3 linked regions of the Tamandua tetradactyla genome follow. The protein of the gene in region 1 purifies or fractionates together with the protein of each later gene. This does not show direct contact. Links are inferred from orthologs where the notes say so. Each region holds a gene or a part of one and is shown in the gene's direction. Other genes may lie near its edges.

The links.
Region 2: the proteins of UBR5 (region 1) and SOX2 purify together in Homo sapiens (affinity purification with western blotting; 3 studies listed by BioGRID and IntAct, with this or other methods). This does not show direct contact. The link is inferred for Tamandua tetradactyla from reciprocal best matches to the Homo sapiens genes UBR5 and SOX2.
Region 3: the proteins of UBR5 (region 1) and centrosomal protein of 78 kDa-like purify together in Homo sapiens (affinity purification with western blotting; 3 studies listed by BioGRID, with this or other methods). This does not show direct contact. The link is inferred for Tamandua tetradactyla from reciprocal best matches to the Homo sapiens genes UBR5 and CEP78.

Annotation. Positions count from the first base shown.
Region 1 is NC_135332.1:146,898,059-146,905,750, reverse strand, and holds the start of UBR5 (E3 ubiquitin-protein ligase UBR5), read left to right. Parts: upstream 1-4,617; 5' UTR 4,618-4,841; coding exon 4,842-4,903; intron 4,904-7,692. UniProt on the Homo sapiens protein: E3 ubiquitin-protein ligase involved in different protein quality control pathways in the cytoplasm and nucleus. Mainly acts as a ubiquitin chain elongator that extends pre-ubiquitinated substrates.
Region 2 is NC_135331.1:80,244,148-80,251,407, forward strand, and holds SOX2 (transcription factor SOX-2), read left to right. Parts: upstream 1-4,619; coding exon 4,620-5,573; 3' UTR 5,574-6,659; downstream 6,660-7,260. UniProt on the Homo sapiens protein: Transcription factor that forms a trimeric complex with OCT4 on DNA and controls the expression of a number of genes involved in embryonic development such as YES1, FGF4, UTF1 and ZFP206. Binds to the proximal enhancer region of NANOG.
Region 3 is NC_135328.1:108,966,239-108,974,066, forward strand, and holds the start of centrosomal protein of 78 kDa-like, read left to right. Parts: upstream 1-4,728; 5' UTR 4,729-4,839; coding exon 4,840-5,092; intron 5,093-7,828. Other genes in the region: centrosomal protein of 78 kDa-like, read left to right, coding at 1,962-2,119. UniProt on the Homo sapiens protein: Centriole wall protein that localizes to mature centrioles and regulates centriole and cilia biogenesis. Involved in centrosome duplication: required for efficient PLK4 centrosomal localization and PLK4-induced overduplication of centrioles.

The DNA of each region.
Region 1 (7,692 bases):
GCATGGGCAAGCACTGGAAATCGAACCCGGGTCTCTGGTATGGCAGGCGAGAATTCTGCCACTGAGCCATCTTTTTAGCTGTTTGGCATAATTAAGAAGTGAAGCCATCCTTTCCCAGAGTTTCTTTTGAAGAAAGGTTTTAAATTAGAATTTGATTTTTTTAAATAGTTATAGGACTTATCAAGTTTCTAGTTCTTCTTGAGTCAGTTTTTGCCAATGGTATTTTTGCTCTCTGTAATTTAAACCCTGTTTTCATTTGTAACAGTTGCCGGAATGAAATATATCTGAAATGAATGGCTTTTAAAAAGGGAAATTTATCAAGTTGCAAGTTTACAGGCATCCAAGGAAAGATACCTCAATTCAAGGAAGGTCGATGGGTCAGACACCAACTCTGTCAGCTGGGTAGTCAGGTGGCTGGCTCTGCTGGTTCCTTGCTCTTGTTACTTTCAGGCTCTGTCCCTGTGAGTGTTCCTCACTTTGCTTCTGTGGAGCCAGCTTTCATCTCTTGACTTCCCTTGGCTCTCTCCAGGTTCTGGCTTGCTTAACATCTCATGATGATGTCTGCTAAGCTCCAAGTATCTCCAAACATGCATGTTTCTGTTCTCTGAAGTAACTGATCTCCAAGCATCTACATCTGTTCTGTCATTGCTGAGGCTTCCGACACTTCTGACTCTCCAAAATGTTTTCTATTTTAAAGGAATCTAGTAAACTAACCAAGATTCACCTGGAATGGGTGGAGGCACATCTCCATCTAATCAAAGGTCACATCCACAACTGGGTATCCCACATCTCCATGGGGATATTCTAATCAAAAGTTTCTATATACAATGTTGAATCAGAATGAAAAGAAATGGCTGCTTTGACAAAATTGGATCAGGATTAAAACACGGCTTTTCTGGAGTACATGATAGATTCAAACCAGCACAAATCCCTACTGTTATATTCTGTCAACATTCATATACCTATATATTTTCCCTTTTCATTCTTCATTCCCATTTGGCTCTGTGATCTTATACTGGGTAATCATTTTCCTTTTGCCTGCTAATTTTTTCGCACATTTCTTTTTTCTTTCTTCCTCCTTCTTCATTTTCTTTTTTTTTATGTATTATTTTAATTTTACTTTCGGTCTTGAAATTCTTGAGAGTTTTCTTTGGCTTGCAAATGGGCAAGGCTTGAAGTGTCAGCGAATTAACAATCCAGGAGCAACCCTGAACTTCTTGGGGAATGGAGTTGATCAATAAATTTCTATATGTCCAGTTTTCTCCCCACTCAGTGGGACAATTCTGAGTGTGTTCCACACAGTCTTTTAGAGGGTCCCCAATGAGACTGAACTCCAATTACCCACAGTGGTAAAACATTTATCAGGATATACTGTTTATTGGCTTTTCTTCCTTCCCTGGCTCATTTCTCCAGTTCCACACAGTGCTTCCTAGGGTCACCTCCCAAATAAGTAACTTTACCTCCAGTTCTGCTTTTGGGGAAATCAAATCTAAGACATGGTCTATCTCAGGGATCCAGCCCTTCAAGATCTCAACACAAAGTAATAGGGGCTCATTAGTGCTCCCCACTGCATTAAGGGCCCAGACATCAATCCCTGTTATCTTAGCCCTGAGTGCTGGTCAGAAGAACTGCTTAGCATTTTGGCTTTTTAGCCTATCTTTCTGGAATTGATATTTATCCCTAGGAGAAAAAGTGGTTACAAACACAAGACTCACCTTCCTGGTTCCATTCTTCCCTTAGGTATTGATTTGGTAATTCATTATTATTTTGTTAGTTCTCTTGTGCCTTTGGGCAGATTTAAATAAATATTTTGTTTAACTTTTCTAATTGTCCTCAGAGGGAGATTAATCCAAATTATCAGAAAGGAATTTTGACTCTTCAAAGAGCTTTTGCCTGTGCCTTGTTTATCTTTATTCCCCTATCTCCATTTCCTCTACCCCCACCCATGCCATGGACTTTCACAACCCCGTGCCTTTATCTTGTTTTCCTCTGTCCAAAATGTGAACCACCAAAGTGTAGAGTCCTGGAAGAGGAGGATTGTCCCAAACATGCCAGCCTGGGACAACAAAAAACATCAATGCCAAGGTAGTTTTTAGTCAAAGATCAAGTGGGCAGTTTGAATGGGCTGCCAAGAGGCCAGACTTCAACAAGGCGAGAAAGTCACAATTCTAGGAAACTCGGCATGAGTAAATCAAGTCAGAAGCAGGGTGGAAGCAAAATGAAAAGAAAAAGATGAAGGACAGATTTGGAAAAAAGAGAAATGAGGCAAGGTATGGTCATCGTGTGGAGCTGGCTCATAGGTACATTTAAAAGGATCAGGTTTAAGCCAGGAATTATATTTGGCCAGAACATTCTTGAGGGCTCAGCTTAATTCTCTTGGCTGGAATCACTTCCTCCTTTAACTTCCATAATACTTTTATTATATTTATCATATCACTTTTTTACTGTTGACTTTGAACAGTCTGTTCCTTCTAAATTTTTAACTACTAGATGGCAGCAGTAGAATCAGAGTCAGAAGATCTGGGATTAACTCTCAACTTCAGCACCTGCCTATGGTCTCTGGGCCTCAGTGTTCTCGTCTATACAATGGGGAGAATATTATTTACACCATAGTGTGACTTGAGGATTAAAAGACACAAAGTATACAAAATGGTACACAGTGAGTTTTTCGTAAATAAAAGCTTCCATTTGCTGAACCTATTATGAACTGCTCTAGGTGCATGAGATACATTATCTCACTCAGACCTCACTATGACCCTTTGTAGCTCTATTATTATGGAATATTTTATTAATAGAGAAAAAAGAATCTGATGGGTTAAATAGCTTAATCAATGTCACAATGTCCTGGTAAGTTACAGAACCAGGACTCAAATCCAGGTCTGTTCTGGCTCTAAACTAGCAGTCTCTATTGGGCCACCCTGCTTCCCCATATTGGTCTTGAACTCACTTTAAAAAAAAAATTAATTTTATTAATTTTTAAATTAAAAAAATATATAACACAAACATTAACATATGATCATTCCGTTCTAATAATCAATAATTCACATCATCACATAGTTGCATATTCAGCATCATGATCATTTTTTAGAACATTTGCATCAATTCAGAGAAAGCAATAAAAAGACAACAGAAAAAATTCATACATACCATACTCCTTACCCCTGCCTTTCATTGATCACTAGTATTTCAATCTAAATTTATTTTGACATTTTGAACTCAGTTTTTAGTCTAAATTAATCTGGGCCAATCTTGGAGATGGTGACCTACAAAAGTGTTCCTTTGTATGTCTCCAGGGATACCTAGCCTATCCTGATTTATAAATTTTCACACATTTCGCTCAAAGGAACTTCCTAAGCAAAAGAGTGTGTGTTTATGTTATGCATTAAGAGGGGAAATGTGACATTTCTACTTAAATACATTTTACATGACCCCTAACTTACGGAACATCCACACAGACTGGACAAGATGCTTTATGTTTTCAGTTTCTGTTCTTAAATTCCTTAAGTTTGAGAGTTCCTCAGAGCTTCTTGTCTTTTTGATGAGATTATAGGAACCCAGAAAAAAGCATATAGAACCATTAAAAAATTAATGTATAGAATTATATACATTATATGTATATAGAATACATACATCATCTTTCATTTAAAAGTAATTTTAAAGAATCATGAATCATTTAAATCAGGAGATTTGAAATTTCCACATTTTGTTTTTGTGTTAAGTGAAGAGGGTGGTGATGGGGGAAATTGGGAAGCGTAGGATTATAAAATAAGTTGCTGCAAAGTCAGCTCCATGATCCTACTATTACCTTCTGGGAAGGTCCTTACATAACTACCTTACTTCTCCAATAAAAATAAAACTGTTTATTTCTTGCTTCTTAACTGTTTTTACGCTGCCACTTGAAATAAAACTGCGGATGCAGGACGAAAAAACAAGGAAAACCCCCTACGAGTCCGCAAAATAATTAGGGTTGCCCCAGGGAAATCATAAGAAGCATACAAGAACTCCTCTTCCTTCTTACACACACACACACACACACACACACACCCTCCCTCCAGAGCTCGCTCCCCGCCGCCTCCTAGCTAACACGTGCTCTCCTGAACACTCACTCCGGAGATTCGCCCCCCCGGGGGGGCTGGGCTCGGAAGCCGAGCCGGCCAATCCGCACGCGCCTTACAGCGTCGTGGCCCGACCACGTTGAGCCGTCCAATCGAAAAGGTCTTACCGCCCGTTTCCCGGAGCCCCGCCCCCTCTCCGTCGTGCCCCCGCCTGCCGGTCTCCTCCCTCCTCCTCCACCCGTTCGCCCCTCCCCCGCCCCTCCGGAGCGGAGCCTGCGAGACGGAGAAACTGGGGCAGAAGTGAAGATGGCGGCGGAGGTGCTGGCGGCGGCGGCGGCTACGGCTTCTCGCCAGTGACGCGCGGTGCGGGCTCATCTCCCTCGCCACCTTCCCTAGTCCGGACCCCGTCCGCCGCCGGGACCACACCGACCCCGCAGCCCGCCCCTCTCCACCCTTCCAGTCGCCCCCTTTCCCGACTCCCGGCTGCCGCTGGCGGCGGCGCGCCTCGGGTCCCAGCCGCCGGCCTCGCACTCCTTCGACCTGTCGCGGGGGGAGCGGGTGGCGTGTTGATCCGCCCTCCTGCCCTCCCCGCCGGGCCGCCGGGCCGCGGACATAACGCCCGGCAGGGAGGCGGCGGCGGCCCCTGCGCATTTGTTTCCCTCCATTTGGGCACTGGGAGGCGGCGGCGGCAGTTGTGGGTTTTGGGGAGGGGAAGGGTATTCGGGGAGGAGGGTGGGCGAGAGAGGGAGAGGGCTGTCCCCGGGAGGAGGACGAGTAGGAAGCACCATGACGTCCATCCATTTCGTGGTTCACCCGCTGCCGGGCACCGAGGACCAGCTCAATGACAGGTAAAAGGGCCGGCCGCCGGGCGAGCGGGGGAGGGCCGCCCTCCCCTCCCCCACGGGGCCGCGCTGGGGCGAGCGCTGGTGTTTACGCGCTGGCCGACCGCTGTTGGGGGGCGGGGGGTGGACGTGGTCCTTGCTGCCCTCGGTTAGGCCCCTTCTAGGGCAAACTTCTTGTCCCTGGGGCCGGGGGATGCGGGGGGAGCGCGGTGTAGACGAGGGACGCGGTGTAGACTGGAGAGAGCGCTGCAGCCCCCGCCCAGAGGAGCCGCGTTGAACTCGGTGGAGATGGGGGGCTCGGTTCCCGGGGGCGGGCTGTAATTACCGCCCAGGCCCGAGGAATCCATATTAGTCAAAGTTGAATTGAGACAGACAATGCGGATGGGGGATGGTGAAGGTAAAAAGAGGGAAGAGGAGAAGCGGAGAAGCGGGGCTTGGGGCTCGGATTGGGCTGGGGCGGGCTCGCCCCGGCCCCTAGGAGCTCTGTCCGGAGGGGTGTACGGAAGCCACCAGGCTTGGGGATCTCGGGAAGAAGCCGATTCCCGGCAGATCGGGGTGGGGGTGGGGTGCGCCGCGAGGGAAGCAGGAAGCGCCATGATTATTGTTATTATTATTAAATTTGAGCCCCTGCAGTGAGCTTTGCCAGCCCGGGGAGGGAATGAATTCCACAGGGGGTGGGGGAGCGGGTTCTCTTTGCTCTCTCTCTTCCGAAACGGTGCTGGCAGTTCATCCTCAAGTCTCTTTGGTGCGAGCTTTTTTGTTTCCTTTTTTATTCTAATGATAGTGTTTTCCTGAGTTGTAATTTGACAGCTGAAGACCGTGCATAGAGTCAAAGGAAAACTCTTACGTTTGCAATTCGCAGTGTTGCTTAACGCGCTGTACATTTCTGAGATGGGTTTGCTATGAGCGGACGAGGAATTATTATTTTTTTGTCTTTTATAAGAAGGCTGTTTTCGCTGTGGATTCCTCTTCATCTCTTCACCAGCGTACCCTGCCAGTTCAGGATATTCAAATTGCAGGGCCGCCTGCTCACCGGGAACTGAGATAAAGCAGGAAAAGTTCCTTTACTGTTGCAAAAACAAGAGACTCAGGAGGTTGAGAGAGGCCTCCATTTAACCATGCTTTAAAATCTAGGGCTCAGATCTAGTGATGGGCATAATGTTAAAAGGGTCAGAAAATGGGGCATTTAAACTCTTCCTCCGCTCCAGGGCTTTATCTGCTATCTGTATTTCTTTTGAATGTAGAAGCCATTTGGTCCCAAATTTAGAAGTTAGGTATAAATTTTTGCTAAGTGACCCGATGACATAATTTGCATGACGCCCTGTTTGTCATTCACTTCAAAGAGGGAAGAGGAGGCTGAATTTGCTGTTAAGATATTGTCTCTGTCTCAGTGTATGTATGTAACCGCCTCAGGTCGGCCAACAGCTTTTGTATCCAAAAGCGGGCTGTTTAGTTTCTGGCACTGGGTTCGGATTTGTCTGATCTTGGCTGTAGCCATATTGTATTTAACATGTGTGTGAAACTTTTGAAATACTTTTTGGAAATGTTAACTATTTGGAGTTGTCACATAGTTCCCTTAAATATTGAGATAACTTTTAAGCTTTTAAACGTTTTGTCATGTGCTCCTTACTATGATTTTATTTTGTTAGAGATCTTTTTAAGACTTCAGCATAAGATTCTTTGTAAATGTAGAAGTCATCGTATTAAGACCAGGCTAGTAGTAAGGATAGGTTTAATGTCGTTCACAGAACCATGTCAGTAGCGCTTAACTTAGAAAATTATTTTCTATATTACTCCTAACGTTATGTATCAAGAATCCTGACTAGTTTACTCAATTGGCTATGCATGTCAAAAACTATTTATTTTACAGTTGTGGTAAATGGTTCATTTTTGCACTTTTTAAATTTTGCTTCATTGAGCAATATACAAGTTATGTCTTTTTTAAGCTACCTTTTCCATGCCTACTGCAAGCAGTTTATCAGCTTATGTTTTTATTACTGTGATGTCTGTGTGTAATATTAAGAATATTTAATCTTCTTGAGTTTTCACTTCCTGAAACAAGGAAAAAGACAAGTGGATTTTATTCAGATCATAAAATGTGTGCATCATTGTGAAAAATATTTGAAAAAGGGAGGTGTTGTACGTAAAATTTTAGGGCTCTCTAGTTGTATCTAAAATGTCTCATCCATGTAGATTTATTTTGTGAAGGCAGTATTTGAGACAGTTATGACCCTGTTTTGAAGTAGTTGACTTGCGGTGGGAGCTGTTCTGTGTCTCCCCTGCAAAAGAAATGATCCTCTTTGCATACCTACTCGCACAGTTATAAGATCAGCTTTTTGCTGCATTGCTTGAGAAAAATCTTTTTTTGAGAGTTTTTCTTTCTGAAACTTTTTAATTGACTGTAACAAGCAGCTCAGCCTATTTTCAACAGATACAAACTTTATTAAGGGTTACTAAGTTTGGGGAAATAGAAAGGAGTGTGCTAATATAGTTTGATTTTTGTTAATTTATTTTTTATTCAACATACAAACATTCTTACAATGTGATCATTCCATTCTTGTTATATAATTAATAACTCACAATATCATCACATAGTTGTATATTCATCATCATGATCATTTCTTAGAACATTTGCATCAATTCAGAAAAAGAAATAAAAAGAAAACAGAAAAAACCCCATACATACCATACCTCATACCCCTCCCTTTCATTGATCACTAGCATTTCAATCTACTAAATTTATTTTAACATTTGTTCCCCCTTTTATTTATTTTTAATCCATATGTTTTACTCGT
Region 2 (7,260 bases), on another chromosome or scaffold:
ACTTTCAGTGGAGATTGCTGAAAGGGTGGAGTGGAGGAAACATAACCAAAAAGGGTGTGTCGGGGGGATGGGGGGCTTCGTTTGACCAAATCTGGCTCCTAATATATTTAACCACTTTCAGAATTAGCAATCCTTTCTGTACATTTTGTTCTACTTCTCTCTCTCTCTCTCTCCTTTCTTATGTAATGAAATTAAAACTTTTGGAGCCCACAGTTGACATTTTTCAGAAAATTGAGTTATCAAGGCAGTAATTATTTCACAGGGAGATAAAACTCTCATAGCCCTAACTGTCAAATAGGACCCTTTTCAGATTTTAATTACAAAATAAAATTAGTCTGCTCTTCCTCAGAATGGTTTGTGAGTGGTTAAACAGAGCTTTCCCCAATACTGGTGGTCGTCAAACTCTGCTAATTAGCAATGCTGAGAAATTCCAGTTAACAAGGACATTCTCCAAGACTCTGCAGGTTCCCTGCCGTTTGCCTTCATTTCCATAAGAAGATTAAGAGAGAAGGGGAACACACTCAAATGCAGATGCAGAAAAGAAGCGTTTTTTAACAAGCATCATAATAGTAAGATGCTTGGCTAGTTCTCACCTAATTACTGCAAGTTAAACCTCTATTTGCCACTAAGAAGAAAAAATAAGTCTACAGTCCCCTATCCCCACAAAATTGTTAGTTGGCTCTAGATATAATACTTGAGGGTGGATGGGAGGAGTTTAGAAGAGAGAAAGCAATGGGGAAAAAAAAGTTTAATAAAATCAAGTTACACTTGGCAGCTAAGACTTTTTGACGAGGGCTTATAGTAGAATAAAATCAAATCAGGATACCCCAGGCACTATTCATTTTATCCCTAATTACTAATCTTGCAGCAAAAGTGTGTAGATTTTTACTGTCCATGGAAGGGAAATGTTACCCTGTCTTTAAGTGCTTTCAATTTTCACAAATTGTGCCCACAGCAACATTTTAAGTTCTCAGAGGATGAAGCACCCTGTGTTATTTTGATACTCTAGTAGTCGATGGTGTATTATCAGTTCTGTAGCTGTCTGTTATGAATCTAACAGTTCTGCTTCTGTTGTCTGTTGTCATTGTCACAGTTACTATCATATTTAGGGGCCAGTAGTGGTGCTGGGTTGAAATAGAGTGGCCAGTGATCTAATTTTTAAAATGCATATGTTCTAAAAATCTAATGAGAAAATTGTTTCTATTATCACCACCTTCTTTAATCTTATTTTCATAGCACATTATTATGCATAAACGCCAGCCACAGTTAGTTTATTGCCTTGATAAGTTCAGCAAGCTTAATTAAAATAAAGCTGTAAATAAGTGCAACCAATGATAACACAATTGTAATGTATTTCCATAGCTTATTTATATGATAAAAGCAATTAACAAAGGACCTAGCCAGCCCCTTTCACCTCTTAAATGCATTATGAGAGAGTTCAGACAGCAGCACATGCATCTGAAATTCTTATAAAAGCTTTTTTTTATATATTATCCCAAGGAAAACTATGTGCTGCTTACTATGGGGTGGGGGGTGGAGGTGATTATTTGAAGATTCTGCAACCATCTGGTATTAATATTTATTTTAAAACATATACACTACCATTATTCACACCAACCCCTTATCTTTTTCTTCAAACTTAATTACCCATAAGCTTTGATTCGTTTTTGGAATAATGCTATTAAGCTCAGACCAAAGCATACACAATCATAAAGTGAATGCTTGTTCTGCCCTTCGTTGCGTCTGGACAATCATAATTCATTCATATGTTGAATCTCATAATTTGTACCTATTTTTTCCCATGGTTTAACCTCCCACTTATCTCGAGGTTATATGTTCATTTCTGCTAAGCAAATTAAATCTGATTCTTATGATTTGGTTCCAAGGCTTATATGATTTGTTAGCGTTTCTTTTGTTTAGATTACATGTAATTAGTTTAATCTTCCTCCCACCCCCCTCATTTTTTCCCTTTAATTATTTCTAAACACTTTCTTTTTAAGGTAAAAGCAATAGTCTTAGCGAAACGATGCACCAGTAGGGGGCGCACCAGCCACGCCTCTGAAACCAGGCGCGGTGTGAAGCCCGGCCGAGCCTTCTCCCAGCTCCTTCCGAGCTGTTCCTTCCCTATTTTCTTTCCTAATAATCGAAGCTAATATCACACTTCGATTAAACAGAAACATTATTTGGAAGCGTATCATATTATTTATGCATTCCGAAAAGCTCGGTCTCACCTTCCTGGGCTCCCAAGACCTAAAACAAGCCACAATTTAAGAGAAAAGTGAGAGCCCACGGGGCGTGGCGTGGGGGGGAGGAGATCGGTGGGAAATCCTTTAGGAAGAGTCTGCAGGATTCTTTTTAGGAACTTTTCTGGATTTCCCGTAGTCACACACAGCCTGAATTGAACAAGCCCAGAAAAGTCAAGGAGGGCAGGGATTGGGGAGCGCTTGTGTGAAGAGGGCTGGCAAGGAGCAAAACAGTGCACGGTTCTGTAAAGCAATATACGGAGCGTGGTCGGTGGATAACAGTACATTTTCTTAGGGCGAGTAAGGGTAGGTCAGAGGAAGAGGGGGCGGAAAGAGAGTTACAGAAGAAAGAGAATAAGTAATCCTGATGGTTTAAGCCTTTTTTAAAAAAAGAAATGGCATCAGGTTTTTCTTTTTCTTTTTCTTCTTCTTCTCTTTCCCCTCCCCCTTTGTAGTCAAGTGCATTTTAGCCACAAAGATCCCAACAAGAGAGTGGAAGGAAACTTAGACGGGGCTTTGTTTGACTCCGTGTAGCGACAACAAGAGAAACAAAACTACCTATTTGTAACGGACGTGCTGCCGTTGCTCGCGGCATTGAGCGCCTACCTATTGAAATCTTTAGGTCGGGACAATGGGAGTGCGGCTAAAATTACCATCTTGGGTCTCGGGCGGGCCGGATTCCTGAGCCCCTACCCCGCCCCCAGCCCGGCCAGCCCCGCCCCGCTGGGCCCCCTCCGCCAAGCCGGCCTCCTCCCCCTCCGTGGGCCTGCACCTGTGCCTGTGCTTAGCGGGCCCGGGGCGCCCGGCTCCCGAGGATGCGGCCACCGCGGTAGATGGCTGCGGGGGACATGCCAGAGCTGTTCCTGCCCGAGCACTAGGAGCTATCTCTGCGCAGGAGGGAGTCTGTGAGTGTGGCCCGAGTGCCACCTCCGTGCTGTGCAGTGGGCGCCAGCAAGTGAAACTTACTCTCCCCATTCCCGCACTTTCGAGCCATCGCTCTGTCTCCTCCTTCCCCCAGCCCCTTTTGAAACTGAAATCCTTTGGGGGCGGCTCGGGAGGAAAATGGGGAGAGGGGACGAGAGTCTGTGCGTCCCCTTCGCAACAACCGCGTGGAGGACTGGAGGGGAGGGGGCCCGCGGCTGGAGCAGAAGGGAAGGCTGGGGATTCCTGGTTCCACGCACTGCGTGGGGCCGTGAAGAAGGTGGAGGCGGCCGCCCGCCAAGGCCCTGCCGGTCCTCAGCTCCAGGGTCGGCCTCAAGGCCCGAGCGGGATTTATTTTTCAGAATAAGAGAAAGCAATGTAGAAGCAAAAAGGGTTTGAGGACAGAGCTTTCAGTCTGGTAACTTCTTGTCGGGACAGTGTGAGGTGGGGCCGAGGGAGTGCGGGCACTCGGCGAAGAAGAAAGGAGAAGGGAAGAGCGTGGTGAGGGAGGGCAGTGCTGGGGAAGGGGGTGGGGGGGGAGCTGGGGGGGAGAGTGCGGCGAACGAGCGGGAGAACAATGACAGAACAACTCTTGCATTGCCTGTTTCCTGAAATACTAGTTGGACAGTTGCCCTGAACCACCCACTCCGCCCTGCCCCACCCCCACCCCTTCGCTGCTTCCCGTGCCCCCTCCTCATTTCAGCACCCCGTACGAAAAAGTAAATCAATATTAAGTTTAAAGAAAAAAGAAGAAGAAAAAAAATCGTGTCTTAGTGCTGTTTACCCACTTCCTTCGAAAAGGCGTGTGGTGTGACCTGTTGCTGCGAGAGGGGATACAAAGGTTTCTCAGTGGTTGGCTGCCGGGCTGTGGGAGCCGCCTCCCCCTCCCCGTCCCTCGCCCTCCCCCCTCCCTCGCCCTCCCCCGCGCGGCCCCGCCCCCTTTCATGCAAAACCCGGCGGCGGGGCCCGGCGCGAGTGGAGGAGCCGCGACGCGCTGATTGGCCGCTGGAAACCCATTTATTCCCTGACAGCCCCCGTCACATGGACGGTTGTCTATTAACTTGTTCAAAAAAGTATCAGGAGTTGTCAAGGCGGAGAAGAGAGTGTTTGCAAAGGGGGGAAAGTAGTTCGCTGCCTCTTTAAGACTAAGACTGGGAGAGAAGCGGAGCGAGAGGAGGGGAGAGCAGTGGGCGCCCCGGCCTGGGCCTCCCCCCGGAGCGGCAGCCGGCGGCGGCGGGAGCAGTCCGAGGCGGGCGGAGCGCGGCTTCCATCCCGGACTGCGGCCGGCCTAGCTGTTGCCCCGGCCGGCCCGGCGCCCGCGCTCCACGCCGAGCCCCGCGCTCCGCCGCCCCCGCCCGCCTCCCCGTCGCCTCCGCCCCCGCCCGCGCGCCCCCCGGAGTCCCGGCCGCGCCGAGGGTCGGCGCCTGGCGGGCCGGGCCCGCGCGCAGCGCCCGCATGTACAACATGATGGAGACGGAGCTGAAGCCGCCCGGCCCGCAGCCGGCCTCGGGGGGCGGCGGCGGCAACGCCACGGCGGCGGCGGCCGGCGGCAACCAGAAGAACAGCCCCGACCGCGTCAAGCGGCCCATGAACGCCTTCATGGTGTGGTCCCGCGGGCAGCGGCGCAAGATGGCTCAGGAGAACCCCAAGATGCACAACTCGGAGATCAGCAAGCGCCTGGGCGCCGAGTGGAAGCTGCTGTCCGAGACGGAGAAGCGACCGTTCATCGACGAGGCCAAGCGACTGCGAGCGCTGCACATGAAGGAGCACCCGGATTACAAGTACCGGCCGCGGCGGAAAACCAAGACGCTTATGAAGAAGGATAAGTACACGCTGCCCGGCGGGCTGCTGGCTCCGGGCGGCAACAGCATGGCCAGCGGGGTCGGGGTGGGCGCCGGCCTGGGCGCGGGCGTGAGCCAGCGCATGGACAGCTACGCGCACATGAACGGCTGGAGCAACGGCAGCTACGGCATGATGCAGGAGCAGCTGGGCTACGCTCAGCACCCGGGCCTCAACGCGCACGGCGCGGCGCAGATGCAGCCCATGCACCGCTACGACGTGAGCGCGCTGCAGTACAACTCCATGACCAGCTCGCAGACCTACATGAACGGCTCGCCCACCTACAGCATGTCCTACTCGCAGCAGGGCACCCCCGGCATGGCGCTCGGCTCCATGGGCTCGGTGGTCAAGTCCGAGGCCAGCTCCAGCCCCCCCGTGGTGACCTCTTCCTCGCACTCCAGGGCGCCCTGCCAGGCCGGGGACCTCCGGGACATGATCAGCATGTACCTCCCTGGCGCCGAGGTGCCCGAGCCCGCTGCCCCCAGCAGACTGCACATGTCCCAGCACTACCAGAGCGGCCCGGTGCCCGGGACGGCTATTAACGGCACACTGCCCCTCTCGCACATGTGAGACGGGCCGGACCGCGGACCGGAGAGGGAGAAGGGAGGGGTGCAAAAGAGGAGAAAAAGAAACGGCCTGGAGAAAAACCCAGTACGCTAAAACAAATAAAGTGAAAAAAGAACATCCCATCGCCCGCAGCAAACGACAACTGCAAAAGAGAACCCCAATCCCATCCACACTCATGCAAAAACAGGATGCCGAGAAGAAAACTTTTATGAGAGATCCTGGACTTCTTTTGGGGGGACTATTTTTGTACAGAGAAAGCCGGAGGGTGGGGAGGTGGGGAGGGGGGAATGGACCTTGTATAGATCTGGAGGAAAGAAAACTACGCAAAACTTTTCAAAAGTTCTAGTAGTACGGTAGGAGCTTTGCAGAAAGTTTGCAAAAGTCTTTACCAATAATATTTAGAGCTAGTCTCCAAGCGACGAAAAAAATGTTTTAATATTTGCGAGCAACTTTTGTACAGTATTTATCAAGATAAACATGGCAATCAAAATGTCCATTGTTTATAAGCTGAGAATTTGCCAATATTTTTCAAGGAGAGTCTTCTTGCTGAATTTTTATTCTGCAGCTGAAATTTAGGACAGTTGCAAACGTGGAAAGAAGAAAATTATTCAGATTTGGACATTTTAATTGTTTAAAAATTGTACAAAAGGAAAACAAATTAGGATAAGTACTGGCAAAAATATCTCCATGGTCTTTTAAAAGGGCAAAAGTTTTAGATGTACTAAATTTTTTTAACTTACTGTTAAAAGCCAAATGGCCATGCAGGTTGACATTGTCGGTAATTTATAATAGCTTTTGTTTCCCAACTTTCCATTTTGTTCAGATAAAGACAATATGAAATTACTGTGTTTGAAATATTTTCTTATGGTTTGTAATATTTCTGTAAATTTATTGTGATATTTTGAGGCTTTCCCCCCTTTATTTTCCGTAGTTGTATTTTAAAGATTCGGCTCTGTATTATTTGAATCAGTTTGCCGATAATCCTTGTATATATTTGAACTAATGCCACCCTGATAACAGGTACATTTTCAACTTAAGTTTTTACTCCATTATGCACAGTTTGAGATAAATAAATTTTTGAAATATGGACACTGAAATTATGCTTTGAGTCTTTTATTTATTTGGATAATGCTGGTTATTAAAGCATAACTCCTTTGGGGATTATAATACTGTGCTCAGCCAAGAAAGCAAAATAGCAAAATCCTTGGTATTTCTCCTCTGCAGCGTGTGCTAGCAAAGTTAGCTGCAACAAATAAGTGGCTGGAAGATTAATTAAATAAGTACTCTTTAAAAATGGAGATACTTATGTCGTTTCTAAAATAGAAACTACAGATATATGTCGTAAGTCCACCCCCTCCTTTTGGAAGCAGCGTGAATAGGCATGATGGGGACTCATGCTTAAACTGTTTTATGCCACTTGTTGCCAGAAAGGAGTCAATTCTGAAAATTTTCAACTTGCTTAGCAGATGGGGTATTGAGCCAAATCAGAACCAGGTCGGCGGGTTTTGTTTTCTTTTTCACAGCACAATAGGCCCTTTTGGAAAGCTGGGTATAGAGGGAAATGATACTTCTTGTATAAGAATAATTGCAAACTAGACATGCAAAGTGCTCATCTGCTGAGTTGGGGGTATGGATAATTCCGGCCCTGCTATTGTCTGAGAGCAAACAAGTGGTTTGCGTTCTTTGTTCC
Region 3 (7,828 bases), on another chromosome or scaffold:
ACACCCCTTTCTCTCTAGCTGACCTCTCTAATATTGAGAAATGGCTAGGTTCATTCTCCAGCAACCCAAGCGCCTATAATAAGGAATTTCAATATCTAGCTAATGCCTACAATTTAACCTGGCATAACATTCATGTAATCTGCTCTTCTTCCCTAACTACAGATTAAATGGACCGCATTTTCAATGCAGTCAGGGCTCATGCTAACCAGGTGCATATAACCGACCACACAATGCCGGTAGGGGCCGAGGCAGTGCCAGGCCAAGAGCCAGGGTGGAAATATCAGGTTGACACTCCAGTGGGGAGGAACGGGTGAACTAAATGGGACAAAATGCTTACATGCCTCATAGTCGGCATGCAGAAAGCTTCACATAAAGTAGTAAACTTCCATAAACTAAGGGAAATTACCCAGGGTCCTGATGAAAACCTGGCCACTTTTCTACACCAGCTCGCAGAAGCCCTCTCCCAATATACCCGCCTAGACCCCGACTCAGAGGCTGGTAAAACTGTTTTAGCCACATACTTTATATCCCAATTGGCTCCAGATATAAGGTGTAAACTTAAAAAAATTGAGGACGGTCCTCAGGCCCCTATCTGTGACCTGGTAAACACTGCCTTTAAAATTTTTAATACTCATGATGAACTAGAGAGGGCAGAAAAGGAATCCCGGGACCGCCAAAAGGCAACTTTACAAACCCAATCCCTGATTGCGGCTCTGCGGTTCACTTCAACAGAGACGAAACTGGGTACGACTAATCCACCACCAGGAAAGTGCTTCAAATGTGGCCTTGACGGACACTGGTCCTACCAGTGCCCCAGTCCTCGACCGCCCAAGGGACCATGCCCTCTCTGTGGTACAAAGGGACATTGGAAAAGTGACTGCCCCTTGGCGCCTGGCCGTGGAGCGGCCATCCTTCCAACCCCTAACCTACTGCTAGCAGTCCTGGGCCTGGCCATTGACGACTGACAACGCCCGGCCTCAGAGACCTCAATCACCCTCATTGAGCCCAGCGTAACAATCAAGGTAGCGGTTAAGTCCACCTCCTTTTTAGTGGACACAGGGGCTATCTTTTCTGTCCTCCCCTCTTACTCAGGTCAACTCCTTCCTTCCCAGGTCACAGTTATGGGCATAGACGGCCATCCTTCACGCCCCTTAAGTACTGGGCCTCTTACATGTTTAATAGAAGGGTACCCCATTACACATTCTTTCTTAGTAATGCCTTCTTGCCCCGGCCCGCTAATGGGGCAAGATCTTCTTGCCAAATTAAGAACCTCACTACACTGGATAAAAAACCCTCAAACAAAACTTCATAGCAAGTGCCAGACTAACGTCACTATCCACAGCACCCATGCCCCCAAAGGACAATATTTCTGGTGTAATGGAACTCTTACCAAGTGCCTTAATTCCACTGCCCCAGGACCATGCTTCCTGGTTACTATTGTTCCTCAATTGACCCTCTATGGGGAGTCCGAACTAACCTGGCTACTGCCCTCTCCTCGCTCATAAAGGGCTGCCTTCCTTCCCATCATGGGAGGCATCAACCTAATTGCCTCAGTTGCAGCCTCAACCACACTGGGAGGGGCACTGGGACATGGTATTTTAACCTTTCAAATCTTCGAAACTTGACTACAGGTAGCCCTGGAATTGACATCAGAATCCCTCTCCTCTTTACATTACCAACTTATCTCACTAGCACAGGTAACTCTTCAAAATTGACGGCCCTTAGATCTGCTGACATCTGAAAAAAGGAATGTGTATATTCCTCCAAGAGGAATGCTGTTATTACGTCAATGAGTCAGGTCTGGTGGAACAAAATATTCAAACCCTAAACAAACTAAGAGACGATCTCTACCACAGAAAACGAGGAACCAACTCTGCTTTAAGCTGGTTTTCTTCTCCTCTGACGACATGGCTCCTCCCGCTACTAGGACCAGTTATCCTAATCTGTCTCTTTTCTCCTAGCTCCCTGCCTCCTCAACTTCCTTCAGGGATGCATGAAGGAACTATCCTGGATAGCAGTCAACCAGATGCTCCTGCATCATTATCATCACCTGCCCTCCTCACCAGATTCCTACAGCCAGCCTCCCCACTCCCCTAGTCATGATGGTTCCGGCCTATAACCCCACGCTGCCCCATTACAGCAGGAAGTAGCCAGAAAGATCTCAGCGCCCTATTATCACAAAAAGGCTGGAATGTTAGGTCGGGGAAACGGGGAAGGGCACTGCAACTGGAGCTGTGGAGGCTGTGTCGCCAGCCTGACTTCCGGAACTAATGAACTGCCCCTTCCAGACGTCACCTGACCTCCATCCTTAAAAGCTGCCTGTGCCAAAGCCCGCATGTGCACTCACCTCCCTCCATCTTGGCTTTGATGAGTTCTGCCTGGAGCACAGAAATACCCCCTACACACACTTTAAATTTCCTGGTGTACCTTTCTTCTTTCTCACCCTTTCGCCTCCTAAACCTTTCAGTTCACTCTGTCACATTAATTTATACATTTGTGGAGATATTAAGGCAAAGTAGGGAAATGGAAAAATAAATCAAGGGAAAGATCAGAACACACACACACACACAAAAGTGAAATTAAAACTAAGTTAGTTTTGTGCAGCACTTCTATAAGAATGAAATATATATGCATGTGTAAGCTACAGAATAAAAATTGCATAATTTTGGAGATTTCTCATACAAGTGAGAAGTTCTTAGGTTTGCATTTAATAATGTCATTGCACAACATAAAGGTGAACGGGAAAATTCAGGCTAATGTAAAATTTTAATTTTTCATTTCTTTGAAATTCAGTCAATAGTAGATAAAAAAACATAATGACAAATAAAGGAACTTCAAAAGAAAGAAAAAAGTTCTACCTTTAACCCCATTATTTTCTGCATTTTGAACAAGAGGCCACACATTTCCATTTTCTGATGGGCCCCGTAAATTATGGAGCTGTGCCTGGATATTTCTTAACATAAATTTAGAATCTTGCACGTTGGAAAGGTTTGAGAAAGTCAATTATCTTATTGTCCAATAAGCACTGATTTTTAAAGAAAATTTTAAGAAATTATACAGGTGACTTAGAGGAAGCAGACTTTGAGAGGAGGAGCGGTTCTGAGAAAATCCAGGGAACTTGTAATGGAAGGAGACCATTAAAAGGATGCAACTTGAAATAAAGCACCCTGAAGTCAGTGAAATTAGGTTGAATCTCAGGTGAGCTGTAGAGACGACAAAAAGTATACCTCTGCATTGCACAAGGGTTAAATTGTCAGAGCTTTTACACCCCTGTCTTCTGTTACTAGTTAAACTAGTTACTAGCCATTTCTGATAGCCTGAGAGCAGCCTAGCAAAGAAGACTCAGGGGCTGGCTGCTGGGATTGAAGCACATTAGGAGCCAGGAAGCACAAATATTAATGCATACTTTTAAAACTAAACATCAGAAATTTAGAGTACAAACACTGCAAGTCTTCACTACCATTCCATCCTACTCCCCTCAATAGTGGTAACTAATGATAATAATGCACTGTTCATTCTTCCAGGTCATTTTCTGTGTACTTAACATTCAGTCCACAAATATTTATTAGTGCCCACTATGTATCAGTTAGATGCTGCAGGTAAGTAAGACAGTCTCTTCTCTCATGTATCTTACATTCTCATGAGTATATATGCATACATAATATTTGTCTCTATTCTGTAAGGCCTATTTCATTTTACAATGTATCATGGATATCTTCCTATATCAATATATGCAAATTTGTCAAATATTTTTTTATCCCTCACCCAGTTTTCCCTATTATTAACACCTTACATTTCTTGCAACTGACAAACCAGTATCGATGCATTTTCATTAACTAAAGTACATATTTCATTTAGATTTCCAAAGTTTGTATCTAGTGTCTTTTCTGATCCAGGATCCCATCCATGATGCCACATAACATTGAGTTGTTGTTTCCTTAGACACTTCTTGCCTGTGACAATTACTCAAATTTTCCTTGGGCTTGACTACCCTGCAAGTTGTGAAGAGGACTAACAGGTATATTGTAGAATGACTCGTTATTGCAGTGTCTGCTGTTTTTCTCATTAATTTAGACAGGGATTATTGGTAATCAATAATTACAGTATTCACAATAATGTCCGCAATTCAGAGAACACTTTTTAATTCGGCAGCAACGGTGGAAGTTAGCTAGAAACAGAATAATTTGCAGGAATTAACTCGGACAAAGTTTAAAAAACTTTTTTTTAAAAAGACATTTAATGGACAACAGTGAACACTGAAGCAATCGTTCATATATCCCTTATTTATTGATTGTACTCTGTCCAAGAGCTGCAAACACAAGAATACAATTTTCGAAGTTTAGACTAAAGACACCACAGTTACGTTCATATCTCACTTCTATCCTGATATGTTAGCGCTTTTTGCAAACCCCAGATTCATACAACCACCTCCCTTCTTTGTCTTGCGCGCCCTGGCGCCTTCTCCCGGCCCGCCCATTAAAAGGGGGCGTGGCCTGCGTGCGGACGCAATGGCGAGCGTGCTGACGTCTGCTTGCGCTGACCGCCGCTGGCTTCTCCCGCCGGCTGGAACCGTATCCGCGCGAGGTAGACGATGAGGCGGGTGCCAACGGCCTCGGCAGCGAGGCGGGAGGTGGCGCGGGAGCGCGGCATCGAGGGGCCATTCTAGCCTGGACCCAGGGCCTGCGTCTTCGGGCCCAGCAGCCCTCCTGAGAAAGGCGTCGCGCCGCAGCTGCCGAGCCGAGGACACCCGAGGGTGGCGGACGGCGAGCCCGGAACTCCTCGGTGGGTGCGGGCGTTGTCTCCGCGGCGGGTCTTCCTCAGGACCCCGCTCCTCTCGCCATGATCGACTCGGTGAAGCTGCGCCGCGACAGCACGGCCGACTTCTTCTCGCACTACGAGTACCTGTGCGCGCTGCAGGACTCGGTGCCGCTGCCCGCCGTGCGCGCCTGCCTCCAGGAGGGCGTGCTGGACTTCAACGCCGACCGCCTCCGCGTGGTGGACTGGGCGCCCCTCCTGAGCTCCCTCAAGGTTAATAAAGATCTGCCCTTGGTCTCTATAAAGAGCTACTTCCAACCGTGGCTTGGGGAAACAGGTTTGTAGCTCCCGCTGCCAGTGCCCCTGGTGTCGGTGCGGCGTGCCTCCCTCTGGACTAGCCGCGAAACGGGTGGGAGCTGTGGGTGTCGAGCGCGGGGCGTGTGTGCAGTAGACGGTTCTGCAGCCTAGAACCCTTTCCAGCTGGGGGACCCTGGCGATCTAGATGTCCGAGCCTCCGTTTTCTCCTCTAACGTGGCTGGGTGACAGAACTCAGGGATTCACCAACTGAGTTCATGCTTGTACAGCATGTTGCACAGAATTTGGAACATCAGTAAGCCTTGGACAAATACTAACCTATTTTGCTGATGACCTTGCCTCACAAAGAACAAAGCGGTTTAGAAAATGATACGTTCCAGCTTCTTTCTTGATTTTTTTTCTATTAAGCCATTTATGTTAAAAAAATTTTTTGTTTTTATTAGTAGCGTGAAATAGAAGGAGCACAGGTGTTGGAGACAGGCTATTTTGAATTCGAGGATTTATATTCTATATGACCTTGACGAGTTATGTACTCTTTGAACTACAATTCCTGCATTCGTAAAATGGCATGAAAAACAGCTCTTTCCATGGAGGGTTTTAAGATTAAAGATTGTATGAAGCATTCTGGCACTAGAATGGGCTCACCAAGCACTGCACTGGAGATACAACCCCTGACCTAAAAGAATCTCTCCTTCACTTGGGGGAGGCAGCAGGTAAACACAGTTCTTGGTCAGTGCTGTGTAGAGTGAGCCCCAGAAATTGGAGGAGGGAGGTGCTATCTGATCTATTTTTGAAGACTGTGTAGAAGGTAGTCTGATGGCAAGAGAGAGCAACTTCTGTAAAAGTCTTGGGAATATGAGACAATATGGCAAAAGTGAGGAACTGAACTAGAACTTAAAGTTTGAGACGAGCCAAAATTTGAATGTTAAAATCCGAAGCAAGGGACATTGTTTGCCCTGTCATGGATTTAGAATTTTTCCTTGATATCTATGAGGAATCCCTGAGGCATTAAGTTGATGGAGTGATGAGATTGGCCTCAGATTCAGGACCTCACTCCATTCTCCTGTGGAGGGCAGTGTATTGAAAGCAAATTGAATCCTGGCATCTAGAGGTTCTAATTATAAAGTATGGGGTTGGCCAGAAGGATTGTATTTCAGAAATCAAAGAGAATGGATAGATCCTGATGACCAGTTAGAAGAGAGAGGTCATTAAGAGACACGAGGCAGAAGAATTCCCAGGTGACCTGCTTAGGTGATAGTTCAGAGCAGCACCTTTCACCGAGATACAGGCCACAACAAAAATGGATTGGGGATGGGAGAGGATCTTAGTTCACCAGTCTGAGGAGCGTGCATACATGCCTGTTAGGAAACCTGTAGCTTGAAGGGGGTCTTGGCCTAAGATACAGATTTGGGTTTTATGAAAGTCAAGTGTTTGAAGGTTTGGGAATGACTAAGGCTACCTACAAAGAAGGTCCTGAAAATTGTAGATGTGAAGTGTATGGGCTTGAGTACATTTATAAGCTGAGAAGAAGGAGTTGGCCAAGAGGAACGGTATGAAGATCTAGAACAGAAAAATATTGTTAATTTATTCAACAAGCACTGAACACCTGCCATGTTCTTGGCCCTCATGTAGGCTCTGGGGTAGTGCCATGTATTATCTCAACATCAAGGACAGTTAAGCACATTCTCTGCTCAAGAGAAGTCAGATTATGCACTGCATCTCATTCTGGTGTAGGAACTGTTCTTTACCTCTGAAAGGACTTCACCAAAGTAATAACTTAGAAATAAAAAAAAATTTAAAGTTGGAAGGACCTTTGCAACAATTTCTGTCACCTTTTATTTTCAGAGGTAGCAGATGCATAGATTTCAGTGACTTGCTCACAATCACACTGCAGAGTTTAAAATTATTAGTCATGCTAGTGTTTGTAATCTTGTCTAATATTTTAAGTTTACATTGAATGTAAGAAAAATGCATTACAGGGACCATTACTCTTCAAATTTCCTTAACTGAATCTTGTCTCCCACATGCACTGCATGTGGGATGTAGATTTTCACCTCCTGTATATCATTTGTTCATCCTTAAGTAGGTTTTGCCTGGACTATTGTAAAAGCTTCTGACTCATTTAGCTATCCCAAGCTGTTTCTCATAGTTCATCTGCCTACCTCAGCCGGAGTGATCTTTCTAAAATAAAAGCCTAGTGTACTCAAAATGATTTGTCCTTATAAGGACCATTGTGTATTGATGGTGTAGTGTGTGCTCTGCACTCAGGGATGCAGATGGGAGCTAAAATCTAAGTTGTGTGGTCAAGCTTTGTGGGGCCTCTCTGCTGAGGAAGAGGTGCCTTTTCTAATTGATCTGTCTGAAGTAGGTGCCTTTTTCTACTTGTTCTTTGTTTGAATTGGTCTGGCACCTTTTTCGAACAGGCCAGTGGCACTCCTGAACCTTGTCACTTGTTAGATAAAAGCCAGCCTCCCTCTAGCTTTGGCCTACCTCTTAACATAATTCCGGCTGTTTCCTAACTCACAACTGTGGCTTTAGCCATACCCAGCTGCACTATTTACAGTGCCTGGGTGCATGTGACAGGCCTGGGTTCCTTGGCATGCACTGATCTCTTGTTAAAGCAGCCTCCTCTCCTACTCCACATAGTCATCCTCATCTTTCCAGACTCAAATTCAGCCTTATCTTGAAGTCATTGCTTGAAGTTAACAACTTTGCTTCCATAAAAATCTCTACATAGGCAGTTTATGTTTACAAGTCT